Diceros bicornis minor: one gene and its partners. The protein of the gene in region 1 interacts with the protein of each later gene in a biochemical or structural test. Links are inferred from orthologs where the notes say so. Each region holds a gene or a part of one and is shown in the gene's direction. Other genes may lie near its edges.

What was found. The genes of interacting proteins can lie anywhere in the genome.
Region 2: the proteins of LRRK1 (region 1) and BAG3 form a complex in vitro, tested with the Homo sapiens proteins (2 studies listed by BioGRID and IntAct, with this or other methods). The link is inferred for Diceros bicornis minor from reciprocal best matches to the Homo sapiens genes LRRK1 and BAG3.
Region 3: the proteins of LRRK1 (region 1) and VGLL4 form a complex in vitro, tested with the Homo sapiens proteins (2 studies listed by BioGRID and IntAct, with this or other methods). The link is inferred for Diceros bicornis minor from reciprocal best matches to the Homo sapiens genes LRRK1 and VGLL4.

Annotation. Positions count from the first base shown.
Region 1 is NC_080744.1:80,700,428-80,704,175, reverse strand, and holds the start of LRRK1 (leucine-rich repeat serine/threonine-protein kinase 1), read left to right. Parts: upstream 1-1,253; 5' UTR 1,254-1,316; intron 1,317-3,748.
Region 2 is NC_080745.1:82,423,149-82,426,896, forward strand, and holds the start of BAG3 (BAG family molecular chaperone regulator 3), read left to right. Parts: upstream 1-831; 5' UTR 832-1,137; coding exon 1,138-1,323; intron 1,324-3,748. UniProt on the Homo sapiens protein: Co-chaperone and adapter protein that connects different classes of molecular chaperones including heat shock proteins 70 (HSP70s), e.g. HSPA1A/HSP70 or HSPA8/HSC70, and small heat shock proteins (sHSPs), e.g. HSPB8.
Region 3 is NC_080741.1:84,305,433-84,309,180, reverse strand, and holds the start of VGLL4 (transcription cofactor vestigial-like protein 4), read left to right. Parts: upstream 1-828; 5' UTR 829-1,279; coding exon 1,280-1,361; intron 1,362-3,748. UniProt on the Homo sapiens protein: May act as a specific coactivator for the mammalian TEFs.

The DNA of each region.
Region 1 (3,748 bases):
TTATTAGGGACTTTTCGATAGCAATCATACTGCTGCCTTTTGCATACTGGAATTAGGACCGCAGTGGTGAGAACAGGATAGCAAAACTGCGCCCACCCTTTTGGAAGGGCGTCTCGTGGCAGGAGCTGGAAGGGCAGCCTCTTGGGAGCAGAGCAAAGCTGCCCGGTGGTCCCCTCGCCAACCAGGGGCCCAAAGAGCCACTCCAAGTGGCCTCTGCGCCCGGAGTGTCCGCGAGGTGGTGTGGGGGCCCTGCGGCTGCCCTGTTTTCGTGAAATGGCGGTGAGGGTGGTGGCGATTTGTCTCTGCCTCGTGCTAAATCCTGGGAGTGTTCCAGTCGTGACATTACATGAGAGGAACCTAGGGTGCAGGTCCTGCCAGGGTGCAGAACCATCTGCCTTTTCTGAGCAGGCTTCTCTTTCCCCGGTGGGCACTTGGAGCCGAACCTGAGGCCTGCCTGCAGCACGGACGTGCATCTTTATGGTCTGCGTTTGGGTAATGGCCTCAACGGTGTGATGAACGTCCTTATATTAGGTTGAAACAATAAATTGCGAACATTCCACCATATTTTATCTATCCCTCCCCCAAAAAAACCCAATTTAAAATGATTCATCAAATAACGACATGTTTGCATATGTCCATAATTAGATTACTAAATTCATGTAGTGGAGGGGGTGAAGTTTCCAAAATACTAAAGCTTTAAAAATACCCATTTCTATACGGCCCTGTAGAGTTGTACACAAATGAATATTCCCTGTCCTTTTAGTGTTTACTGCCAGAGTACACGGCCAATGTACAAGTCAGAGGTTAATCCGCGGATTTTGCAGCTGAACAGAACAGAGGGACACTGAAAGCTGAGTTGAGCCGGGAACCCACCAATCTTAATCGCTGCGCCTACGCCGCATGGAGAGAGCAGAGTACCCAAACCTGGAGGAAACTTCGCGCTAGAGGGGCCCGAGGGCCCTGTCGTCTCCTGGGCAGGAGCAGTGAATTTGATCACCTACGGTTTACGGCTAGGGAAACTGAGGCGGGCCGCCACGGGGACTCCTCGCGCCGGTTCCGGGGAGGACCAGCAGCGGCCAACTCTCTCCCTGCGCGCTCTTCGCGCCGCCCGCTGCCCGCCCTCCCCGCCCGCCGGCCGCAGGATTGAGGAAGTGCGTCTGGGCCCGGCCCGGCCCCGGCGCGCGCTGCCCGAGGCGCGGGGCGCGGAGGGCAGTGGGACCGCCAGGCCCCGGCCCGCTGGTGTCCTCCTGGCCAGGCCCGCGCGGCCAGCCCCGCATCCCGGGGCGCCCGCTGGCCCTGCCCCGCCGCCGCCGCAGGTAAGCTGCCCCGGCCCGCGCCCCGTCCGGGGGCCTGGCCGCCTCCTGCAGCGGGTCCGCGTGGAGCCCTGGGCCCCGAAGCCCAGGCCCGCGCTCCGGGCGGCTGCGTGCTCCGGCAAGTCCGCGGGATGGGGGGTGTGCGGGGCCCGGGGGGGGAACCCCGAAACCGCGCGCAGGATGGTGCCGGGGCGGGGGGAGCAGAGGCAAGAAACAGAAGTAGGAAAATACACCAGGGCGTCTAAATGTTTCCTCCGCGTTTGGAGAAAACTCCTTCCTTCGATTTGGAGCGGGCTGTGTGGACGCGCGTGTTTGAGTGAGTGAGTGTGCGTGTGTGAGTGTGAGTGCGTGTGTGCTGAGAAGGGACTGTCCAAGAGTCTCTCTCTGCCCGGGGGCGGCCTGGTGATGCGGGATGGCCGAGCGCGCCTTCACCCTCCTCAAAGTCTGGGGTGTGCTTCTTGCCCAAGGGTCGCGTCTCTGGCCGGGTCCGATAAGGACCGCCATCTCTACAGCGGTCTCTGCGGGCGACCTTCCCTGTCGGCGGCGCGGGAGATGAGTGCGGTCGGGGCGGGGGGAAGGAGGGGAACCTGAGAAGGCTGGGGGTCGGAGGGCGATGGTGATGGAGAATTTGGGGACCTTGGGATCAGAGGGCGCTGGTGACAGAGCATTTGGGGACCTCTGCAGCCAGCTCAACCTGCCTCTTCGCGCTTTGGAGCCAGGAAGTTTTTCTGCCACAAACACATCCCCCTGCAGGGGTCGGAGAGGTGGAAAAACAGGATCATGGAGTTATGTTCTTAGCGATCCTCTTCCCAAATACGCGACTTGCAGAGTTTGCCATTCACTCGCTCTGCTTCAAAGTTCCGCGGACATTAAAGGGACGACTAGAATATGCACAATTTTGGAAAACGTTAACATTCAATGCCTTTTGTGATTTGACTTAACTATCTTTGCTTGTGTCCTGGAAGAATAAAAATTAAGTTAAAAACATAACGAACCTCAGACCTAATTTGTCCCTAAAGGAGGTTTTGGGGTCTGCCAAACCTTTCCCTTCCCCAGGCTTCCACATTTGAGGAAGTGGCTTCATAGTCAACTCTTGCTCAGATCAAAAACCTAGGAGTTATCCTCCATCCCATTCCCTCATCCCTTGAATTAAGTCTGTTAGCAACATGTGTGCGGGTCATCCCCTTGTTTCTCACAGCCCCACCCTAGTTCAAGTTACCAGCATCTGTCTCTTATGGTTACAGTCCTCTCACATTCTCTGTTTGGCAACCAGAGTGATTGTTTTCTTAAATAGGTAAATCAGAGAGTGTCATTCCTCTGCGTGGAACCCTTCAATAGCTTCTCCTTGTGTTTGCTTGGCATGAAATCCAGGAGGCTTCCTTCCCTTCACACCCCCCAGCTGATCTGGCCTTTGCTGTCTCAGACCACCTGACCATTGCCCCCCAGCCACCCTGGCCCATCTCCCTCTCCAGCTTGCGGCCTCTGCAGTGCTGCCCCCTGACTCTTCACATGGCCAGCCACCCTCTCTACACCCAGCCTCTCTCTCACATCCCTCTCTCTGTGTCCTTCTTGCAGTCTCCACTGTCTGTGTGTTCCTACTTTATCGGTTTAATTTCTGCTTTAATTACCTCGAGGTCTCCACTGGAGCTTCAGGGGTCAGAGACTGTTCCTATGTGCCTACCTTGCTCGCTGCTGCATCTTGACTCCCGGAACCATCCAGGAGACGCCCAGTGCATCCTGGTACAGTGACTGAATGGCAAATGGACAGCCTTAACTTGTTTGTGGTTTCAGACTCATGAAGGGCTTCTGTTCCCAAACCCTTGGAGAATTTGGGGACCTCTGGGGGTCAGAGGGAGATGGTGATGAAGAATTTGGGGACTTTTGAGGGTCAGAGGGAGATGGCGATGAAGAATTTGGGGACTTTTCGGGGTCAGAGGGCCATGATGATGGACAGTTTAGGGACTTCTGGGGGTCAGAGGGAGATGGTGATGGAGAATTTGGGGACCTCTTGGGTGCTTATCTGGGATTGAGAACTACACATTTCTCCAGTCTGCAGCATTGTGATGTTTTGATGTCCACAAATCCATTAAACACGTTTTGTAGGCAAGCCAGTATTGGTCAAGAGATGCTAATAGTGCCAAAAGCATGTCTAGGACTATGAGCCAACCATTTCAACCAGCCTTTGATTCAAAAAAGTGCTGGATGATATGAACATTGCTGACATGCTTCACTTGCAAGTGGCTTCCAGCTCTTGGTGCTGGCAGTCCTTTCCAAGCTTCCTGAGAAGACAGGTGAGCAGGTTCAGGGTCTCCTATGTTTCTTCCCTGTCAGACACTTTACAGCAAGTACTTAACTGTGTCCTTCCCACCAGCTGTAAGTTTCATGAACTCATGAAGTTTACCCTTGTGCAAAGGGCCCAATAAAAACGTACGTAG
Region 2 (3,748 bases), on another chromosome or scaffold:
GCAACCACCATTGAATCCACCAAACAAAAAAATTTCATGATTCAATTTGGTCCCCACTTCCCAAATGAAAGTCAAGATTTCAGATAGCAAGAACCAACCTCTACCATAAACAAGATCAAAACCCCACAGGATGTGATTTTTCTTTAAAGTCATCCACTGCCATAACAGTTTCTATATTTGAGATATGAGGTTCAGGAGCATAAAGCCTGAGCTGATGCAATCTTTCTCCCTTAGGTTTCAAAAGGCAGCAGGTGAGTTTCCATTGGCACTTCCATTTTCTCCCTGGCTTGGTTATGGTGTCAGATCAACATTCCAGACCTCCTTCTGGACGGCCCTTGAGCCCGTGAAAAAAAAGTGATTAAAACGTAACTGAGGGACGCCTGTGTCCCCGAGTATCAGTATACGAAGGAGCAAAGGGGGTGGGTGGGCCAGACTCTAGTTTAAAACCAACGACTTTAAAGGCGAACGATGGATGACTTTGTTTTCATAAGCAGCAGCAGCAGCAGCAGAGACCCCGCGCGCGGACTCCGGGGTCCGGGAACAGCCACGCGGCTCCAAGAAGAGGGAGCGAATCTGAAAACCGAAACCGGCCCAGGACACACAGACGACGGCCCGGGGCTCGCTCGTCCCGCCGGCCTGCCGCAGGGGCCACCCAGCCCGGGGCCACCCCCGCCCGGGGACAGCCACCCCCGCAGCTGGGCGGGGGAGGAGGGGAAAGCGTGGGGGAGGGGCGGCAGAGCTGAGGCCCCGCCCCCGCCCCGCCCCGCGCCGATTATAGCCAATGACTCAGGGCGGAGCTCCGCATCCAGTCCGCGCCGCCGCCAACTTCTCTGGATGGGACCAGAAGTTTCTAGCCGGCCAGTTGCTACCTCCCTTTATCTCCTCCTTCCCCTTTGGCAGCGAGGAGGCTATTTCCAGACACTTCCACCCCTCTCGGGCCACGTCACCCCCTCCTTTAATTCATAAAGGTGCCCGGCGCCGGCTTCCCGGACACGTCGGCGGCGCGCACGGCTCTCGCTCCGGCCGCAGCCAGGGAGCCACTCGGCGCCTGGAGACCCGGCACCCCGCGACCCAGCACCCCGCACCCCGCGACCCGGCGCCGCGGCGGCCGCCCCTCCGGGCCGACCCCGACCCAGCATGAGCGCTGCCACCCACTCACCCATGGTGCAGATGGCGTCCGGCAACGGCGCTGGCGACCGCGACCCCCTGCCCCCCGGCTGGGAGATCAAGATCGACCCGCAGACCGGCTGGCCCTTCTTCGTGGACCACAACAGCCGCACCACGACGTGGAACGACCCGCGCGTGCCCCCCGAGGGCCCCAAGGTGAGCCAGGCCCGCGCCGCGCCCCGCCGGCGGCCCCCTCGACGGCGAGGGCGAGGGACCGGGCCGGGCTGCGGGGACGCGAGGCGCCCGCGCCCGGGCCCCGGAGGGCAGTGAGGGCCGCCTGGGACGCGCGGACACCAGCTCCCGGGGAGTCGGCCCGCTGCGCCCTTACCAGCCCCCTTTCCGGGCCCGCCCTTGGCCGGCGTCGGGGCGAGGGGGAGGCCCCGGAGGGCACTGTCCTCCCTGGGCCGCATTTGGTTTCCGGGGGTCGGCCCGGGAAGTGCGACCCGCGCGGTGGCGCCAGGTCCGGTCCACCAGCTCGATTCGAGGGGCCGGGAGGGGCGGGCGGCCTCGGGCAGCGCCGAAGGCCCGGGCCAGGCCCCGCCGCGGCCTCCGCCGCCGCCCGGCTCGCCGGCCTGAGATCCCGGGTTCACTCTGCTGATCGCGCTTCGGCGGCCGCCAGGGGCCCATTCGCAAGCCCGGGTGGTGGGCCCTTAGGAATTTCACGTCCTAAACTTCCTCCACTTGGTTGAGGGGTATCTTGACTTGGCTCTCCAGTCTGAGGAGCAGAGTGACTCAGGAGAGTGATGTAAATACATTGCCTTTTTTTTCCCCCTTTTCTGTGTTTGAAATTAAAATTGTATTATTGTTCGAAACTGTTTTCAATAAGAATATATTCTAGTATGATTTGTTAAAAACAAGATGCTGTTTCCCAGGCAGTTTCTAAACTAAATACGTGAGACTGTCTCATAGTTGGCCATTGCCTTACGACATTGCCTCACACTGGCGAGAAAGAGAATGAGTTTTTTTTTTTAATGGCATGCATTCCCTTCCTTGTTATGGTATGAGAATACCTAGGATTTGTTTCTAATACACCAGTAACTGAGTAGTAATACCTTTGTGAATACAGCGGAAGTATGCCTCATTTACGTATATGCAAGGATATGTATTTTTTAATCCTTAGGAGGATGAAAATTTGAGAATATAAATTTGGAATGAGTGTTAATTTAAAAAATTATAACTAATTGTACTACTCTTGTAATTTACCATAAATTTCAGCTTTTTCAAAATAAAAAGCTTGGCAGGAAGAAATATACTTAAAGAAAGAGTAATGTTATGCTGCCTGGGCGAAATAAAAATAAAAGCTGTAAAGAGCTGGTAAGTTATTTTGAAGATTTAAAAATTCACAAAATTAAAAATGCTGTTTGTCGTTATTTTAGAAGAAAGATACGTATTATCCACCTTCATTTTTATGTGCTTTTTTCTTAAAAATACTGTTAACACTGATGTCCAACAGTGAGACATCATATATTCAGCAACTTACATTTATAAGAAATTAATTGTATATTTATTTCTGAAAATTAGTACAAGAGGCTGTAATTAGCTGGGCGGGGCGTGATTATACCTTCTTTTTTGTGTGTCTGGTCAGCCCATTATTGGGTGAAACTAATGCTCATTTCAAACCTGCCCTGGTACTCTCATCTGCATGGATGTAGATCTTTAGTGTGGTAAAAAACTATTCTTTGGAGGGATCCTTTCTATAGAGACAGGAACAGTCAGAATTTGCTGGCATCCTTGGTTTTGCATTCAGAAGATGGTTTGAACGTATCCACTGTGAGTGCAGTACCAGACCCAGATTTCCAGTACTTTGTTTTCAGTGTGAAACTCCCCAGCAAGTTGAGATCTTCCGGTACCCATCCGGTGGATGGGTGAGGCTGTGGTTTCATTAACCCTAAGGAGGGAAAGACAGGTTGAGTTACTAGTATTGTTCTTAACAAGTAGAAAATAAGACTACTAAACCAGAAGTCTGACGCTGGAAAAGTTGATTTGAAAATCGAACAGTCAGAATTTTAAAGTTGAAAGGTCCTTAAAGATCTTTTAGTTCAGCCTCTTTATTTTACTGAGAAAGAAACCCAGTGAGTTCAAATGTGTTTCCAGAGGTCACTCAGCTAGTACTAAAAGCAGAGGGAGAACTACACCAGGAAGTCCTAATAAGAGGCAGTGTATCTGTTCAGAAGAAGGTAGAAGTGTCTTGAATTTTTATGAAACTGTGAAGCATGTGGGCTGGAATACTTGATTATTTTTTGTGTCCTCCAGACCACCAAGTATTGGGTGGCTGACTTCTATGCTGTGATTACTTGGATGGTGGCTGGTTATGATCAACTCAAGAAAAAGAGTTCTCTTTACCAAATTAACTACTTGAGATTTGTCAGCATGGCACCAAAACATAAGGAGAAAACATTCAGTTCATTAGCTCTTTGTGCTTCATTGCTTGCAACCTGTGCTTTGATACAGAACATGTGGGTGACTAATTCACTTTCACTTATATGGATTACACCTCACTCCAGACTAAATACAATGGAAAATCCTTGAGTATTACTTTATATTAGAAACTGGTTTCTTAATGTATAATGAGGAAAGGGCC
Region 3 (3,748 bases), on another chromosome or scaffold:
CAACACCTACTTGTGCTAGATGTCGGAGATGCAAAGTTTAAGCCTCACATCCTTCCCATGAGGAGCAACATGGCAGCATGCTCCTAGCCTCTGATACACAAATGGAACAGCTTTCATATGGGCAAAATGAAAGTAATTTTATCCCCCCCATCATTTCAAGTAGGCTTTCAGTTTTGGACATACCAGTCGTACTTGCTTAAACCTCTCTCACTGCGTCTTTCTCTTTCTCTTCCCCTGCTTGTTTTTTAGGTTATATTAGGGGAAAAACACTGTAAAAGTAGTTGTACCAATTATTTTGGGGGCCCTGGGCCAGTTGTGTAATCCCTCTGAGCCTCAGTTTCCGCTGCTGTAATAACCATCCGCCCTGTCCGTGTGAGTTGTTACGAGGATTATGAGAGAAGTTATATGGGGGATTACCATCAAAATTTTAAATATACAGTTAAAGAATAAATGGACATTATAAAACAATTTTAAAAAGAAACCTTACAAATGTGTGATATAGGTACCACAGCAAAACACTTTGGGTTTCTGAAACCCAAACGTGATGATACACCAGAGTTAAATTCCATGGAAGTTTGCTTCCTTGATGGATTTCTTACTTTTTACTAGCTCCTGAAAAAGAAACTTCCCGGGTTTTCTTTTTCCTCCTACGGTTTTGCAGTGGCAGGGCTGCTTCCTGCCGAGAGCAGCTCTGCCATGGCCCCTCTGTACAGACTCTCCACCTCCTCTTTCTCTGTCTTTCAAACACTTAATACATTTAGAGACTGATCTTGTGCAGAAAATATCCCTGACATTTGAAGAGCTCCAGGGATGCAGTGAGCATGCTCCGTGCCCCTCCCGCTGGGAAGAGGAAGCTCGTTTACATAGGAGTCATACCAAGCATAGCCAGCATGTCAGCGCAGTTAACTTGCAGCGGGCTGTGAGGAAAGCGAGCGTGGCTTTGTCCTAGGAAATGTGCTTCGTGTTTTTCTTTTTTACTCCTTTTATATTTTGAAGAAAGACTTGTAAAGACTTCTGAAACAATTTTTAAATGCTCAATTGAGGATACAAAACGTATACCGTCTACAAATAAACCCTTGAAGGGTTTTGTGCGAGTTCGATTTTTGTGCGTGTGTTCTTTTTTTTACTTTTACATACTTTGTTTTGATCATCTGAGGCCGGGCCTCCGTCTTTGTGAAGTTTGAGAAAAGAGCCAGGAGCTTCTCAGCAGTAATTGATTTTTGAAACGTACTCTTCTGGGGCGAACGCAAAGAGCTGGTTTTCTGTGCTAGCCCAATAAATGCTATTTATGAAGATGGACCTGTTGAACTACCAGTACTTGGACAAGATGAACAACAATATCGGCATTCTGTGCTATGAAGGTAGAGGTTCCGTTCTAGAAATTGCTATTCTATTGCTTTTATGAAGGCCACTCTTTCTTTAGGGTTCTGAATGCCTTCTGTGCATTTTGTTCTTTCTTGGGACTTTAGGGTGCTTTGGAAGGCGAGCGGTTATTATGTACTGTTTTCAATACAAAGTTGGTTGTTTGGATCGGAGCCTTCAGGGTTATGGTGGAGAGGGCTGGGGGGTGGGGAGGCGGAGAAATAGAAACTTAAAAGTTTGCTTTAGGCTTGCAACATACTAACTCTTCAAATTTTTAACTCTTTAAAATGTATTTTTTTTTAAATTTCTGTTGGTGTTCTCATTAGAGGAAGAACTTCTAGGACCCAAGTAAAAGTTGTGTGTCGTTTTTTTGTTTTTGCTTTGATACTTGTTTTAAACATACACCATCTACATATTCGTGTTGTATTCCAACAGTGCTTTGGATTTCCTGCAGAGGGGAACATCAAGTTATAATGAATTTTTGCTTTGGGGAGTGATTGTCCCAAACAATGAAGAATTTTTCTGTTCAGTTTGGAGGACTGGAAGGGCATCTGTGTCACGGAGCACAGACTGCCTCTTTGTCTGATTTCCCATTTCCTGTACAGCTCTGAGAGAGTTCTCACGTTGAGGGATGTTCCCTCCACACTCTGGTCCCTTGTGGAAGTGATAGCACAACACACCAACCAGAAAGCTAGATTAAAGAAAAAAAAAAAAGCTCTGAATTCTTATTGTTTGTTACCTCCTACTAAACCATGAGGTGTTTCCCCACTGCCTTGTAGTATTTCAAGCTGTCTCTGTTAGTAGTAAGAAGAGAAAAAGCGATTTCTTAATCTGTTGGAACATTATCTACGTGCGATTTGAAAAAGTGGTAATGGCCTGGGTTTAAGTGGCGGGAGAGGCATCTCTAGGGGAATTCAGCTTGGCAGGAGGAGTGTTTTTTGTTGTAACCACATACAAATCGAGGCGACATCTCCTTTCTGATTCAGCAGGAGCAGTTTCCATGTTTTCTCCTACAGTGAACTGAACAAGAAAACATTGAAGAAACTTGGGAGGGTGAGCTGACCCACTTGTAATTTTCATGTAAAAATTTCAGGCCTGTTGCCTAATCAGTTGAAAACTTACCCTTCAAGGATAAAAAATATCTCATTCACGTGTTTTTTTTTTTTTTAATTTATTTTTTTAACTCTGTGGATACGATCTCATACTTAAGGTTTAAAAAAAAAGGTTTTTTGTTTTTTCTTTACTCTTAGTTCTTCCTCTAATGAGAATTTTGGTGAATTGCTTTCTTTGAATCTGCTGCTTTAAGTATCATCTTACTTCTGAAGTCCCTCATTTAAAAGGCAGACTTTTTCAGAACCTTCTAAGCAGCAAGTGACTGGGCTTGTTGCCTGTGAAATTAACATATTGCAGTTAGTTTTTTAGCCTTTTTTTTTCAGTGAACAAGAAATTAAAAACTCTTAAGGCAATTTCTGTTGACTTGTCTTTGTCATCGAGTAATATGATATTTTCAAAAACAAAACAAAACGATCAGCCTAAGAGAGGAATATAGGGCTTGCTAGGAAATTGATACCACATTAATTTTTTATGTCGCCAGTTGGTGGTGGTGAGGAAAAGCTTATGGAAACCTTGCCCAGGTTGATTTTTTGTTGTGTAGTATGTAACACACATGAGACTAGTCTTCTGGCTTCCTTCCTTATTTGGGAGGAAGAAACTTTGATTTTGAAAGTTGAGTAGATATGTGGGATGATTTGCCATAGTCTGTTTGGTTTAAACATCTGCTGCTATTTTCCTTATTATGAAAGTTAACATTACTTTAACACCAAAATAAATACACAGGAAATGAAGAAAAGCACAGCAAAATTTGAGTGGTGTTTATAGTGGATTGTTTATGTCCCAGTGGTTTTCTCAGTGTAAACACTGCACACATCTGCTCTGAACTCAAAAGGGTGTTTTGAAGATGGGCATAAATCTTAGACGGGACTTTTTTTTTTTTTGTACGAAAAGTTGGAACAATTATTATTCCTTTAAATCCAGCACTTTGAGAATATTCATATTAAACATAGCAGTGCACTGGCATTCCTGGGAAGGTATTTGGAAAATGGAATGTACAGTTGGTGAGCAGCATTTAATTCCACTTAGGGCACAGGCAAGTTTCACGTCTCTTCATAATAAGGGACACATTAATTTTCTCAATTTTTAGTTTTAAAAATTAAGATGTTGATGGTTAGTTATTCTCTAGGTTAGTTATACCGTATTCCTTAGTTTTATTGACACAGCTCTACTCTGCAAAATAAACCATGTTCTGCATCATCTTTATTCAACCTCTCTAGCAACTTATACACAAATAGGTCTTTTTAAACCAATTATCTTGTAGCATATAAGGTTT